Ovis aries: one gene and its partners. The protein of the gene in region 1 binds, or shares a complex with, the protein of each later gene. Links are inferred from orthologs where the notes say so. Each region holds a gene or a part of one and is shown in the gene's direction. Other genes may lie near its edges.

Region 1 (4,850 bases):
TTTATTGAGCTCATCTTTGCATGAAATGTTCCCTTGGTATCTCTAATTTTCTTGAAGAGATCTCTAGTGTTTCCCATTCTATTGTTTTCCTCTATTTCTTTGCATTGATGGCTGAGGAAGGCTTTCTTATCTCTCCTTGCTATCAAGAACCTGGCTTACCTGACAGTGGGTGTTGGTTTGCAGTGCAGGACAGCAGGCTTAGGTAGATATTAATTTTGCAGTATTGAGGCAGAATTTTTTTCTTCTATGAAACTTCAGCTTTTGCCCTTAAGGCCTTTCAACTCAATAGATGAGGTCTGCCCACATTATCAAGGATAAACTCCTTTAGTGAAAATCAACTGATTGTAGATACTAAGCATAACAATAAAATACCTTCACAGCAGCACCCAAATTAGTGCTTGATTAAGTAACTGCATATGCTAGGCTAGCCAAATTGATACATAAACCAACCATCAACAGAGGGAAAATGTGGGAGAGGGAGGGTTCTGTTGTTATTTTACATGGAGTGGTATATGACATATGATCAGAGAAGTTAGCTAAAATATATTATTTTTTTTGTAATGTAGTCTTCAAATTGTGTTCCTTGGCAGTTTAACAGATGGGTAATCATTTTAATTTTTTTTTGTTTGATCTTCATTACCAGCTGTCCTTTTTGCATCTTACCCATTTTAATTTAGTGTGTGGTAGAATCATTTTGTTATATAGCATACTTAAACTTAATGAACAATTTACCAGGTAGACTAATAGAATACCACTTAAATGATGATAAAACTAACTAGTATTGTTACTTTTATATTGAGTACAAATCTGATGCACTTGGATTTGGTTTATAGGCCAATCCTACTCTACTGGGAAAATTCGTTTTGCCTGAGAATTAAATAGGGACTATTTTAATTAGTGCAGTATCTAGATAAATGGAGTCTTTTAAAATGTACCAGTTTGCATAGTGTTTCTATTATGTAAGCGGCTATTTCTAGATTACATAACAATTTATGTGAATTTCAACTTTTGCTTAACTTATACTCTTAGAGGAGAAAGCAGAAAACATCATTATCTTTATATTGTTTGTGTTACTGCCTTGTATAGCAACTTAGAATAGAATGGTCTCCTACTGCATATCATTTAAAAACTCCTAGTATTCACACTATTCAGTAGGCCACCCATTTATCTCATCTCTTTTTTTCTGTACCTTGGTTTTATTTTTTGATTTAGGCAGCCTGTTTGCCCCTATTTAAATACGACACCTTTCTTACCTCTAATGGTTTCTCCTTTACATTTAAGTCCTGCTATATTGCTTCAGAGAAAAAACATTTTGTAGTTGGACAAGGGGACCATGTTCTCTGCCTCTAATGTTCTGTGAGTCTGGTGAATTGAATATATTCTATTATCTCTGCATTCTCTAGATGTTTCCTGTGACTTCTCTGTTTAAAACACACAAATGAAGGGGCTGAACTATGTGTAATGTTCTTGTTCTAATGTGGTCTCATGTTAATGAATTTAGGTGTGTGGTTTTTTTTTTTTAAGGTATTTTGGGATTTTTTGTGTTTTATTGTGAGAGACCTTCCCTTCTAGTAGACTTTTTCTCCCTTAAAGTCCTTTTCTCCTTACCTTCCATCCCACATTCTCCATGCGATTTAGAGCTTTTTTGTTGTTTTTTTCATAGAATTCCTTGGTGTGTCTGAGCATTCAGGGTGATGTCAAACTCATTTCTCCTCTTACAGAATGTTTGATGTGGGAGGACAGAGATCTGAGCGGAAGAAATGGATTCATTGCTTTGAAGGAGTGACCGCCATCATCTTCTGTGTGGCGCTGAGTGACTACGACCTGGTTCTAGCTGAAGATGAAGAAATGGCAAGTAGAACCTCTTTTAAAGATTGAACATGGAATAGGAAGAGTTGGAGTTGTTGCCAAGAATTTTTCTAAGAAAACGTCTTGAGAAATTCTTGCTAATGCCTGAATAATGTGAAAGTTCAGGCACTTTTCTCTAACTTTTCTATTTAGTACATTTCCCTCTTAGTATGCAAAGAAGCATACTTTTTATGATGGATCCTCATAAAAAGGAGAAGGCAAAGAGTTCAACTCTCGATGCTTAACTAGGCATTTCTGAGATCTGGTATCTACATACTGAATAAAAATAAAGTTAGCGCCATTATAGTCCAAGGCTTATATTTCTTTCTTCTTCCAGCTTAGTAATCCCTGGGCTGTATTATACTATATTATACTTCGCGGCTGTCATGTAATTGGCACATGTGTTTCAATGTACCATTAATCTGGGGGAAATATTTTTAAATATAAGAGCTATAAATGTTTCTTTTTTTTTTTTTTAAGATAAGGTATATACAGTTACCGTTCAGTAGGTGTAACATACAGCATTCATTTCTGTCCTTCTGGTGCACTATAATATATCAGTGCCCTTTTTGAAACCACAAATACCAGAAGGGCAGGAAACAAGAATTGGAGGTTTCCTTCCTTCATACACTATTATATAGGGTATTGGTCTAATTGTATTCAGCTTTTTCAGTTTATTAATCTTTAAAAACCTCTACTTACCTTTTAATGGAAACTTCAGTTCACTCTGTAATGATGAGGTCTCCTCCGAGATGTCTGCACTTGCCATTTCTAGATCACAAGCTCCTGCAGTACAGTGACACACCGCGGGCACTCAGCGAGTGCTGGATGGATGCAAAAGCGTGATGAGAGATGCAGATATTCGTCTCGCCTAAAATCGTCACGTGTGCTTGTTCTTAAATGGTAGAAGTGCATTTTTGTGATAGGTTATCTATTTTTCGGCTGACTAAGCTCTATTGTACTGCCACACTTTTTTTACCAGACACTCATTATTTTTTAAAAGTAATATTTCTCAGAATCTTTGCCCTTATGACACAGGCTGTTTTCTATTACAGAACCGAATGCATGAAAGCATGAAGTTATTCGACAGCATATGTAACAACAAATGGTTTACAGATACATCTATTATACTTTTTCTGAACAAGAAGGATCTCTTTGAAGAAAAAATCAAGAAGAGCCCTCTCACTATATGCTATCCAGAATATGCAGGTATTTTACTTTCTCTGTCAACTCGTAGATTTCTAAGTGAAAGTTCCCCTAAGCCAAGATTTCAGTTGTTGATTTGAATCTCTTGGCTTCGTAGTTCTTAACCTCTAAGCAAAATTATTTAGCAAACTGCATTCAAGGCCAGCTTGCTTGGGCTAGCTCCTTGAGGTGTGGAGGATTAAAAATAACATTCGTTTTATGGAAAAGCTGTTAGATAATTTTCTATGGTGACCCTGAGTCTTTGCAAACGTAAGATACTGATTTGTTCATGCAGTTAACAGATCTTAGGTATTGTGTGATGCACAATAAATAAGGCGTGTCTCTGTTCACTGGCTAATCTCTAAGACAGAGATACTCCTAAGGAAACAGATAATACAACAACAGTGCGGCATGTGGCTACAGAGGAAAATGAGCAGTAATTGTAAGGGGGGAAAGATGAGAAAGGAGTCTGAGGTAGCTAACTGCTCAGGGGAGTGGGGGAAGGGTTCACAAGAAATCCAGCCTTTGGTAATGAGACCTTAAAGCTACTTCAATTTTACTGCTGTGGAAAATGGTCTGCTTTGAGAAGAGGAAAGCTGAGTTGCAGTCCTGGCTTCCCCATAATTTGCTCTTTGATCTTGAATGAGGCAGTTAATTTCCCTGTCTCAGTACTCCATCTGTGAAATCAAAAGTTAGGCAAGAACACTGCTTTAGTTCTTTGGAACACTTCCCTGGCTTCTACTGGAAGTGGGCACAAGGAACACAGATATTCCACCCCTCGCTCCCCAGGTCCCCTCCACAAAGAGTCGAACGTGATAGAAAAAAACAACCCTTGCTCCATCCTATTTTAAGAATTTTTTTCTTATAAACAAAATTTTAGTTTTGTATTGAGTAAATGATACAAATATTTACTGCCTTTCCATGGGCAGTGTTAAAACAACTGTGTGCTATGGATGCCTTTATATCCCACTAACACAGGTGAGAGCACTGGGAGGAATGAAGCAAGAGAGTCCCAAACCAGATCCAAGTCTGCTGCACCTGCTGCGTCCAGAACATGAACAGTCAGAATACATTTAATTACATTCTCACTGGAGGCAAAGCAGAGGGTTCTTCAGTCAGTGTGACCCTACTGCCCTTTACTACAGCCCTCTTTGTAAATCACAGAGGTATCAGTTCAGTTCAGTCGCTTAGTCACGTCCGACTCTGCACCCATGGACTGCAGCATGCCAAGCCTCCCTGTCCATCACCAACTCCTGGATTTTACTCAAACTCATGTCCATTGAGTCGGTGAAGGCATCCAACCACCATTAGGGTCTTTTCAAATGAGTCAGTTCTTTGCATCAGGTGGCCAAAGTATGGGAGCTTCAGCTTCAACATCAGTCCTTCCAGTGCATATTCAGGACTGATTTCCTTTAGGATGGACTTAGTTGGATCTTCTTGTAGTCCAGGGGACTCTCAAGAGTCTTCTCCGACACCACAGTTCAAAAGCATCAATTCTTCGGCACTCAGCTTTCTTTAGAGTCCAACTTTCACATCCATACACGAGTACTGGAAAAACCACAGCCTTGACTAGATGGACCTTTGTTGGCAAAGTAATGTCTCTGCTTTTTAATATGCTGTGTAGGTTGGTCATAGCTTTTCTTCCAGTGAGTAAGTGTCTTTTAATTTCATGGTTGCAGTCACCATCTGCAGTGATTTTGGAGCCAAAAAAAAATAAAGTCAGCCACTGTTTCCCCATGTATTTGCCATGAAGTGATGGGACCAAATGCAATGATCTTAGTTTTCTGAATGTAGAGCTTTAAGCCAACTTTTTACTC
Region 2 (5,302 bases), on another chromosome or scaffold:
TAAGCAAACACAGACATGACCGCCCTCTCCCCCTCCTCCCCACTAGAGAGCACCTTATGCTAGTGCAGCAAATGCTTAATAAATACACAGATGATTACAAGACGGACGGGCCTGGCAGTATGGCAAAGGGGAACGGGGAGGGTGGGGGTGGTGGGATGGTGTCTGGCAGGGAAGTGGTCACTGGGTCTAGGGCCACAGGCACACTTTCATTCTCTAATTTACTGTAACAGAAAACTAGACAACAGGGGTGTGACAGAAACGTCTGGGTCAGGGGCTTTGTTACTAACCAGACTCCACTCTGGACAAGTCACTTTTTTTTTTTTGGAGGCTGCACCATATGGCCTGTAGGATCTTAGTTCCCCAACCAGGGATTGAACCTGTGCCCCCTATTTTAGGAGCTCAGAGTCTTAACAACTAGACCTCCAGGGAAGTCCCTGGACAAGTCAGTTTCCTCATCTGTAAGGGGACTGGTTTGTTCAGTGTTTGTCGAATTGGGGTGCCAGAGGCACATTCGCCACCTGTGTGTGCACGTGCAGTGACTGTCTTTCCTGGGTGCCAAGTTTATTCAATATATTTTGGGGCCCCATTCTTTTTACATGAAAGCATTTTATATCTTTGTTCAGAATGCAGAATTTACCTGGATTTTAATTATGGCAACTAAAAGACGCTTACTCCTTGGAAGGAAAGTTATGACCAACCTAGATAGCATATTCAAAAGCAGAGACATTACTTTGCCAACAAAGGTCCATCTAGTCAAGGCTATGGTTTTTCCAGTGGTCATGTATGGATGTGAAAGTTGGACTGTGAAGACAGCTGAGTGCTGAAGAATTGATGCTTTTTAACTGTGGTGTTGGAGAAGACTCTTGAGAGTCCCTTGGACTGCAGGGAGATCCAACCAGTCCATTCTAAAGGAGATCTGTCCTGGGTCTTCTTTGGAAGGAATGATGCTAAAGCTGAAACTCCAATACTTTGGCCACCTCATGTGAAGAGTTGACTCACTGGAAAAGACTCTGATGCTGGGAGGGATTGGGGGCAGGAGGAGAAGGGGATGACAGAGGATGAGATGGCTGGATGGCATCACCGACTTGATGGACAAGAGTTCGAGTGAACTCCGAGAGTTGGTGATGGACAGGGAGGCCTGGCGCGCTGCGATTCATGGGGTCACAAAGAGTCCCATATGACTGAGTGACTGGACTGAACAGAACTGAACTGAACATTTCAGGAGCAATTACTGTGTGCCAAGTATAAATCTCTTTCTATGATACTCACAATTACCCAATGGGATATTATTATCTCCATTTATAGATTTTTAAAAACTAGGGCAGAGAGATGAACTAATCTACCCAGTCACATGTTACTTAGCAGTGATAAATGACTCCTCCCCGCCCCCACAAAAAGATCTGGACCCATTACAAGCTGCTTTGGGATTTATTCCCAGACCCCTGAGACTTCTCTGGTGAAGCCTGAAAAGCACAGGACAGAATGATCTCCAGTCCAGCTCAAGCACTCCTTAATCAATTTTAACAATATCAGTGGATTAAGGTTGTCCTCCGGGTGCCCCTGGCGGATGAAAGGGGCTGGGGAGGCTTTGCGGGGTTTCCGGGGGTTCAGGTGCTCCTATCGGCCGAGGGCGTTCTCTACCTAGACTGCCGCCTCGCTCACAGCCTGGTATTTCCAGCCGGCGTCGCTGGCACTTCCTCGTTCCCGCGCGCCCCAGGCTTAGCTTGCAACGCCCAGCTCCGGCGCTGCTCAGGCGGGAGGGGGCCAGAGGAGAGATGTCGCAACCCTCTCCCTCCCTCTTTCCCCGCCTTGGCATTCAGTCACCTCCCAGATGAGCCCGCTCGCAGAAGGCTGCGGGCCGCGGGGTGCCCGGTATGTCCCCTGAGTGCGCGCAGGCGGCGGGCACTGCGCCCGTGCGCAGCCTGGAGCGGGCCAACCGCACCCGTTTCCCGTTCTTCTCCGATGTCAAGGGCGACCACCGGCTAGTGCTGAACGCCGTGGAGACCGTGGTGCTGGCACTCATTTTTGTGGTGTCGCTGCTGGGCAACGTGTGCGCTTTGGTGCTGGTAGCGCGCCAACGGCGCCGCGGCACCACCGCCAGCCTGGTGCTCAATCTTTTCTGCGCGGACCTGCTCTTCACCAGCTCCATCCCGCTCGTGCTGGTTGTGCGCTGGACGGAGGCCTGGCTCCTGGGCCCGGTGGCCTGCCACCTGCTCTTTTACATGATGACCCTGAGCGGCAGCGTCACCATCTTCACGCTGGCGGCAGTCAGCTTGGAGCGCGTGGTGTGCATCGTGCGCGTGCAGCGTGGCGCGCGGGGCCCAGGGCGGCGGGCGCGGGCCGCGCTGCTCGCGCTGATCTGGGGCTACTCGACGATGACCGCGCTGCCCCTCTGCATCTTCTTCCGTGTCCTCCCGCAGCGGTTACCCGGCGCTGACCAGGTGAGCGCCGCGCTGTGCGCGCCGGGCCGGTGTCCGGGAAGGGCTGGCAGGCGGAATGTGACGGAGACGGTGATCTAAGATGATCATTAACAAAAACCACAAAACGAGAATAGGCCATTTGTTGCATGTACTAGTCGTGGCACCGTGCTCGGTACTGTTAAGTTTTATCTGTTAAATTTCACTATGACCCTACGGTGTAGATTACATTAAACGCCCTCCAAAACGTTGTGAGTGGAGTCCCCAAAATGCTTGTAAGGTGCACTATTGCGAGGTTAATGCAGTAACGGGGGCTTAACGGTTAGACAGACGGAACTTGGCAGACCTGGAATGACTGATCACATTATAGTAAATTCTGCTTTCTCGCAGTACTTATTATCACACGTATTTACAGATGAGGAGGCCAAGGTACGCAGAGAGGGAATGCTCTCACCCCTAGTGTAGGAGGAGCTGAGATCGTGCTCAGCAGATTCGGTGCGAGGTGAATGAGGGTCTTGCTTTGAGAATCGCGGGCGTGGGTGTGTGGATAGGCTGGAGAGAAAGGGCCTTGGAGACCCAGAGACCCCAGACCTAGTGCTGCCTCTACAGGGCTTGTCACTTCCTCTCTGGAACCTCAGTTTTTCTAACTGCAAAACGGAAGGGACTAAATTAGAGGGATTAAACTAGAGGGATCTTACCCTGGGAGCTTTGGATGAAGAGTGACATCAGAGTATCCTGGGCGCCCGAAATATTCCGAAGATTGTCGAGGCTGAGCCCCTGAGCTTTACTCGGGTGGCACACCCAGAGATGCCATTAGGATCTTTGTGGGTAGAGCAAAGCTTTTGCTCTGTTCACGACATGGGCTCGAGTCTGCTCCGGTCCCACGGTCCGGAATTGCGGGCGCGGGTCTGTTCTTGCTGTGCTGCGGCGCGACTGCAGGCAGGGCTTGCGCGCGCGGAGACTCAGCCGGGACACCAGACCTGGACAGAGGCCCGCGATTCTGGCTGTTATCCCGGTGTTATGTTCTGTGCGCCTCTCCGGGAAGGCCAGGGACAGAGGTCTGTGAGCCTCACCAGAAGGGTCCGGGGTGCGGGGGGTGGAGGGGGAGTACTATTTCAGGTACACTCCTACTTAACCGGCAAATACCACTAAAAAACGAGGCTCTTGTCACCTCCCAGCCAACAGCCCAGACTAGAACTGCTTGCTGACGTGGACACAGGGGCTGTTTGAGTCAGAAGGCCTTCGCACAGAGGCAGGACCTTCCGTGCCTTGCCACTCTGGATTACCCAGGTATGGCACCTGTGGAGGCTGGACCCTCCACAGCCTTTCTGGGATGGCGGGAGTTTTACCGTAAGATGCCTCTGTGGAGATTTGTGTTGGGGTGACCTTCCTTCAGTCCCTTTTGGGGCTGGGCACACAGACCCCTCTTATTATTTTAATGCAGAAACACCACTCTGGTCTTAAGAGCCTTTGGAGAGGGAGAGAGTGGGCCAGAAGACTAGGGATAGGTGAGCTGGCTGCGGGAGCCGTGTTCCCCAAGGTGGAACTTGTGATGAAAACCTGGGACAGTCCTTTCCAGCCCTCCATCCTCTGCTGTTTTCCCTACCTGCTCCACACTCCCAACACACACGTACTCACACCTCCCAACAAACAGAAAACTCCTGGTTCCTCAAGGGCTATGACCTGAACATGTAGGAAATGTCTTATTTTATAGGTGGGTCGACTGAGGCTCTGCTGTTAAAGGAATAAGTTGAGAAGAATGATAATTGGGGTGGGAGCAGGAGGGAGGGGACATTAAAAAAAAGAGACAGAGAAGGATCTAGTCTAGACTGAACTGAGACTCAAATTTAAAATTAGCAAAGACTTGTTTTCTCAGTCCTCTACTCCCAACTTCCTGGCTCTGCCTGCCCCCTCCCACTTGGACACTAAATATGGAGGTTTTGGATGGGGGACATTTTCCTACCCAAACCACCAGCTCAGAGAACTAACTAAACCCAGGCGCAGACTGGCTCCCTCCCCTCCAGGAGAACAGGCCAGGGAGACAGTGTCTCTCAGAGTTTTTTGCTTATCTGAGCTCCACCCCTGGTCAAACCCAGTCCCCAGGAACGTGATTATCTTTGTCCATTTGGGCAGTGGGTGCCCAGCAGCCAAGCTGATTAGACTCTCACAAACTTAGATGAAATGGTAGACATTCTAGAAAATGCTAGATAATTTGGTATTAGGAATGCAGATTTTGGAGTCAGATGATCTGAGTTTGAATCCCATCCCTGCCATTTAGGAGTTGTGAGACAGAGGCAAGTGGTCTCATCTCCCTTATACCTCACTTTCCTCGTTTGCAGAATGGGCACAGTAGCAATATTACCCTTATTAACATCGTGGTGACTATGTTTAGCAAATGAACTAACACCTGGCACACACAGAGTTAAGCAGTCAAGAGTTGCCAGCTATTATTAGTCTCCTTATCTTTGGTTATAAATATTTTAAACATTTTTCAAACAGTATAATTCTTCTGATTGCTATAAAATAAAAGACTGACATTAAAAACAAAAAAACAAAACACTGCCATTTTAGGAGAGTGGACACATCCTAGCAACGTCTCAGCCAGGTCATCCCAGCCTGTTCCAATAGAATTCCTGTCTGTGTGTTATAGTCCCAGTGGGGCGTGACCCTCATTGGCAGGTAGGGAGGACTGTCCACCCTGGTCAGAGTGTGCTGCCCATTTATTCTGCAAACATTTACTGAGCACCCCTCCCTCCTGCCCCCACCATGAGTCACATGATCAAGACACTGTCCTTCTCTCCAAGGAGGTGCATGTAGGTCACCCAGCTTCTGGTCTCAGACCCTGGCACAATTCGGTAACCCCACAGTAACCCCACGAGTTGGTG
Region 3 (5,475 bases), on another chromosome or scaffold:
AATTTACGAAGAACTCATACAACTCAATAATAAGAAAACAATGGACCCAAGCAAACAATAGGCAAAACATGTGAACCGATATTCCACCAAGAACATTTATGAATGGCTAATAAAGTATGAAAAGATGCTCAACATCTTTAGTCATTCAGTTCAGTTCAGTCATTCATTTGTGTCCAACTCTGCGACCCCATGAATCGAAGCACACCAGGCCTCCCTGTCCATCACCAATTCCTGGAGTTCACTCAAACTCACGTCCATCGAATCAGTGATGCCATCCAGCCATCTCATCCTCTGTCATCCCCTTCTCCTCCTGCCCCCAGTCCCTCCCAGCATCAGAGTCTTTTCCAATGAGTCAACTCTTCGCATGAGGTGGCCAAAGTACTGGAGTTTCAGCTTTAGCATCATTCCTTCCAAAGAACACCCAGGACCAATCTCCTTTAGAATGGAGTGGTTGGATCTCCTTGCAGTCCAAGGGACTCTCAAGAGTGTTCTCCAACACCACAGTCCAAAAGCATCAATTCTTCAGTGCTCAGCTTTCTTCACAGTCCAACTCTCACGTCCATACATGACCACTGGAGAAACCATAGCCTTGATTAGATGGACCTTTGTTGGCAAAGTAATGTCTCTGCTTTTGAATATGCTATCTAGGTTGGTCATAACTTTCTTTCCAAGGAGTAAGCGTCTTTTAATTTCATGGCTGCAATCACCATCTGCAGTGATTTTGGAGCCCCCAAAAATAAAGTCTGTCACTGTTTCCATTGTTTCCCCATCGATTTCCCATGAAGTGATGGGACCAGATGCCATGATCTTCGTTTTCTGAATGCTGAGCTTTAAGCCAACTTTTTCACTCTTTAGTCATTAAGTAAATGCAAATTGCAAATTAAAAACCACAATGAGATACCAATTCATACCCATACCCAACCAAGGTCACAGCTCCCATCCTTCTTAGAACTGGTCATACAGTCAATTAGGAGTTAATCCTGTACTCTTCTTTTCCCACCCAGACACTTGATCCCTAGATGTCCTCATGGCATAGATTATTTTTAACATTTAATAATTTATTGACAACTATTGAGATAAATGTTTTAAAACTAGGGTGAGAATACACACTCATGACTTTCAGTTCCATGTTTGACCCTTTTGGAGGTTGAAAGATTCCTTGGAAGGTCATTTCCAATGTGTAATACTGTGCAGTAAGCCAGGAGAAGGTCATCCACCCCTTTTGCGTTTTTCCACTGACTGAGAACTTGTTTTCTTCCATGCATTCATAAAGAGAGGGTGCCCTTGGTCAGAGTCAGTCAATATTTGAGCAGCCTGAGATCAAGAGCTGGACAACAGATGTTGAGAACAGAAGAGCATCTGGAAAAAGACCAAAATCAACACTAAGGCCTAATCTCTAACCACTCACATCGAGAGGAGCTACCTAGTGTGAAGCGGCTGCTGGGTTCTCCCGTCAGTCGTTGGATGCTTTCCCACGCTCGTTCTGAATTTAACCCAGAGGTGATTTATCCAGAGTAGCCCTTTGTTTTCCCCCAGGTGTTGACTGGGGTGGGAGACGGGGAGCAGAGTCCATTTGTTACCTAATCCCAGAGATAATCAGATCTTTGCGGTGAGTTTTCTAGCAAATGTCATCCAGTTGCTTCTTATTGACCTAGTTGTAAGGTAAGACCTTGCCACTCATGGCCTGATCACAAGATAACTGATTTTCCTGAAGCGCCATCTATTTCTGATCTTACCACCTGGTTCTTGCGCCTGACAAGTGTTTTAAGTATCAGAGCATGAATTTACTTTCTTTCCTCTTAAATCTCATCTTGTTGGTTTGAGTTCAGTGACCCAATGTGTCAAGATCTATTTTACTCTTCATCTTTGCATTGATTTCCTAATTTGTATTCTCACCCTCAAAATTGGCAGACAGGAAATGCCACGTGGAACATGAAATCTGTAAACTATTATAAAATAATCCCTATGAGAGAACTAAAAATCTGACGGGCGTTGTTGAGCTGCATTCACTTCCTCTGCCTCGAGGAAGCCGAAGGTCAATGCTGTGGAGATGGAAGTGGCACAGAGTAAGTTCACTGGGCACCGTGGCGTAGGAGTGGCGGGTACAGGGTAGAGGGAGAGGTGAATCCTGGCATGTGCTCACATGTGTGTACGTGGGTGTGCAAAGGGCAAGAAGCTGAGGCTTCTGTGAGACTCGGTGAGAAGGACGGAAGGAAGGAGGCCTAGGGGAGCAGCACTAGCGCGCTTGGATGAAGACGAGGAACAGTGAGCGCAAGCCTCTTGGAGGGTCTCGTCACGATCTCCACAGTGTTCATCTTGCTGTCTGTCTGCTCGGTTTCTCTGTTTCGACGTGTGCTGTTACTTGGAAATGCAGCTGTGCTTTTTCAGTTCCTGTGCAGTGAGAGGGTGGGGGAGCCTCGGCAACTCCAAGGCCCCTTTGCAGACAGATCAGCTCAGGGAGAAGGGGAAACAGGTGATATGGGCCAAACCCAAAGCAGTGGAGGGAGGAAGGGAGGGCGGCTTGGAGGCAAGCTCACACCCTTTGGCAGAGCCGTCCCTGTGGCACACAGGTGGGGTGTTTTCTCCTCCAAAGGGGAGGCAGCGGGATGGAATAGGAAGCAGGGGTCTCTGCACTCCTGACTGCAGGCTGCTGACAGTCACAGTGCTGAGCGGTACCTCCAACACGCGAGTCTTTATTCGTTGTCACGTCTGCGCTCTACTTCACTGGCATATTAGGTTAGAATAACACCCAAAGAAGACCAAAGTATGATATAAAAATAAATATAAAGACCAGTTCTGTTTTCTCCCCACCTCCCAGTGGAAGGCCTTATACCCCCTTGCCCACGTCTACCCCTCCAGGCATCTGCCTTTTTTTATATGGGGAATTATGCGGCATGTGATTTACATATCAGCACAGCTGTTAGGTGAAAGAAAGGCAGAACATCAGCTGGCAGGAGATGAGGCCATCTGGGAAGGCTTTAGAGCTCTAAGATGAGGCACAAGGAAGAATTTGTCAGCTTGTGTGTGGGGTGCAGTGAAGGCTGTGCCAGGGCAGCTGATGCAAAGACCTGGAAGTGAGAGGGGGCTTTCCTTGATTCAGGAACTGAGAGTAGCCCACAGAGACAGGCACAGGATGGGGCACGGCGAGCGAGGAGGGGCCAGACCCCCAGAAGCCTTGTGAGTCAACCGAAGCTTAGCGAAAGAGTGTTAAACCTGAGAGTGACGTGCCCAGGTTTGCATCTTAGAACCATCATCCTGGCTGCAGAAAGTGTGGAAAAAGGATAAGACGGGGACTGTCTTATCAGGAGGAGGTTGTCCTCAAGGGATGAAATGGTGGGGACCCAGCACGGGGAGGGGCACTGAGGACAGAGCCAAGTGGGCAGGGTGTGAGGGCAGGCTCCCAGGTGTCTGTCTCGAGCAGTCCACTCAAGGGCATTGCCACTTGCTGAAATTGTGAGACCAACCTGGGCAGGGAGCCTGCTAATGAACTGAGTTCTGGGGTTACCACGTGTGGCTACAAGACGCTCGGTGGGTACCTGGAGGCAGTGGTGCCAGAGATCACCTAAATGCAGGCGTTTAATAACTAAAAGATTTCAAGCAAAAATCCAGCGTTCTGGCTTCTCTGTGAAACCTGGCACAGGGAAATCTGGCCGCTCTGGGTTTGTATACACTCTTGTGCACAGATCAGCAAACTACAGTCTGAACTGGCACCACACCCAGCCCTGGGCCTGTGTAACCCTAGACCTAAGGTTTCTTTGTTTTACATTTTTAGAAAGTTGTTCAGCTCAGTTCAGGTGCTCAGTCATGTCCGACTCTTTGCAACCCCATGGACTGCAGCACGCCAGGCTTCCCTGTCCATCACCAACTCCCGGACCTTGCTCAAACTCGTGTCCATCCAGTCGGTGATGCCATCCACCCATCTCATCCTCTGTCGTTCCATTCTCCTCTCGTCTTCAATCTTTCCCAGCATCAGGGTCTTTTCCAAGGAGTCAGTTCTTTGTATCAGGTGGCCAAAGTATTGGAGTTTCAGCTTCAGCATCAGTCCTTCCAATGAATATTCAGGACTGAAGAATATATGGCAGAGATCGTGGCCAACAAAGTCTATAGTATTTCCTCTCTGGCCCTTTTTAAAAAAAAATGTTTTTTGCCGACCCTGCTCCTGGCAGGTGTCTGCTGGAGCTGAGTTGCTGCTGCCACCTTTCCACGGGTGCAAGGCCCCTGGTTGCCTCACTCCCCAGGCTCTGCTCCTGCCCAGCCCGACTCACTTGTGTGCAGTTTCTCCTTGGCTCCCCGCCAGGTCTTGGGGTCCTGAGAAGGTATGACCAGAGGAAAGAGCAAGAAACCAGGGTAAGGACAACCTTTAAGAGACAAGCAAAGAAAAGGCTGAAAGGAACAGAGAGGTAGGAGGGAAGCTAACATAGGGATGCTTTCCAGGTCAGAAAATAGAGCTTTTCAAGAAATATGTGTGGTCAGGTTCTCTGGTGCCGCTGAGCAGCCTGGCAGGGGAAGCCTTTAGAATCCCCAGTAGGTTTAACAAGTGACAGCGAGGTGATGAGCTTTAGTGGAGTGGGGAGTGCAGATGCCAGATGTGAGTGGTTGAGGAGAGCTGGCTTCCAGGTTAGCTATGGAAGGAGGGGGAGACTGGGCAGCCACTGGCGGGACTTTATCAAGACTTGATCAAATGGGAAAGGCTTGAGGTACAGAGAGGGAGAGATGGAAGATGGGGGCAAAGCTGACGGAGTCATGTCTGCAGAGGGAGTCAGGATTTGCCTTGGCCAAGCGTCCCTTGGGAACAGGGCCCAGGGACGTGAAAGTGCAGTGGAGAGGGAGGTTTTCTAGCAGGAAGTTAGTGCTTTGTCCTATTGGCTTCTGTTTTCTTGCTGAAAAAGTGGTGGGTCACCTGCTGATCAGAATTCTAGAGTGAGAGGGTCTGAGCTACACATGGCACAGAATAGGGAAACTTGACAGTGTTGCTGGGCAGCTCAGGAGCCTGTGAGTCACAGAGGTGTGACCATCTTCCCCTCCCTGCTCTCAGGGACCCTGTAGGTGTCAACTGGTGGCCCCAGGCACAGGACTGGGCAGATGCAGGCGTGTCAGTCCACGCACTCCAGCCAGGGCTTCCAGCCGCACAGGAAGAGTTCTATTTACAATTTAAAAAACAGATGAAAAGAAAAGCAGAAGGAGCCCTTTCATAAAACTTTGCTTTAAAACCAATACAGTTCAACATGAATTACGATTTAGCATCTGCAGAGTATCTCATCGTTTTAATGAGCAGTCACATTGAATTCCGCTCACGTGAACTACACAGCAGTGACAGCGTGCTGAGCAGGGAAGGGCCGAGGGAGGCATGCTTCATTTTCACAAGTGAAAGGAGCGAAGTTCACATACTGTATAAATGCCACGTCCAGGAGTGTTAGGCTTGGATAAGCCTAACTTATCCAAAGGTACAACTACAGCCAGAATTCTGAACTCATC

The links. Proteins that work in one complex are often made in the same cells at the same time.
Region 2: the proteins of GNAI1 (region 1) and FFAR4 are in contact, whole or in part, in a cryo-EM structure (PDB 8ID3), measured with the Homo sapiens proteins. The link is inferred for Ovis aries from reciprocal best matches to the Homo sapiens genes GNAI1 and FFAR4. Residues at the interface, in NP_002060.4 of Homo sapiens: Ala31, Arg32, Val34, Leu194, Gln304, Glu308, Lys314, Asp315, Glu318, Ile319, Tyr320, Thr321, His322, Phe334, Asp337, Ala338, Thr340, Asp341, Ile343, Ile344, Lys345, Asn347, Leu348, Asp350, Cys351, Gly352, Leu353, Phe354; in NP_001182684.1 of Homo sapiens: Arg71, Ala73, Thr74, Arg136, Cys139, Ile140, Leu143, Gln144, Arg145, Gly146, Ile230, Ile233, Thr234, Ser237, Arg238, Arg240, Leu241, Ser244, Leu245, Ala246, Tyr247, Ser248, His251, Arg254, Gln258, Arg261, Leu262, Leu266, Leu269, Met323.
Region 3: the proteins of GNAI1 (region 1) and XCR1 are in contact, whole or in part, in a cryo-EM structure (PDB 9AST), measured with the Homo sapiens proteins. The link is inferred for Ovis aries from reciprocal best matches to the Homo sapiens genes GNAI1 and XCR1. Residues at the interface, in NP_002060.4 of Homo sapiens: Glu28, Ala31, Arg32, Leu194, Asp315, Phe336, Thr340, Asp341, Ile343, Ile344, Lys345, Asn347, Leu348, Lys349, Asp350, Cys351, Gly352, Leu353, Phe354; in NP_001019815.1 of Homo sapiens: Glu63, Thr66, Arg127, Ser130, Val131, Pro134, Leu135, Leu138, Val140, Arg146, Tyr205, Leu212, Ser215, Ser217, Lys218, Arg219, Arg222, Thr223, Leu226, Ile227, Val290, Gly291, Val292, Lys293, Phe294.

What each region holds. Positions count from the first base shown.
Region 1 is NC_056057.1:42,451,060-42,455,909, reverse strand, and holds part of GNAI1 (guanine nucleotide-binding protein G(i) subunit alpha-1), read left to right. Parts: intron 1-1,721; coding exon 1,722-1,851; intron 1,852-2,903; coding exon 2,904-3,057; intron 3,058-4,850. UniProt on the Homo sapiens protein: Guanine nucleotide-binding proteins (G proteins) function as transducers downstream of G protein-coupled receptors (GPCRs) in numerous signaling cascades.
Region 2 is NC_056075.1:14,652,353-14,657,654, forward strand, and holds the start of FFAR4 (free fatty acid receptor 4), read left to right. Parts: upstream 1-1,829; 5' UTR 1,830-1,874; coding exon 1,875-2,441; intron 2,442-5,302.
Region 3 is NC_056072.1:53,240,051-53,245,525, forward strand, and holds the start of XCR1 (chemokine XC receptor 1), read left to right. Parts: upstream 1-2,002; 5' UTR 2,003-5,475. UniProt on the Homo sapiens protein: Receptor for chemokines SCYC1 and SCYC2. Subsequently transduces a signal by increasing the intracellular calcium ions level. Receptor for XCL1/Lymphotactin.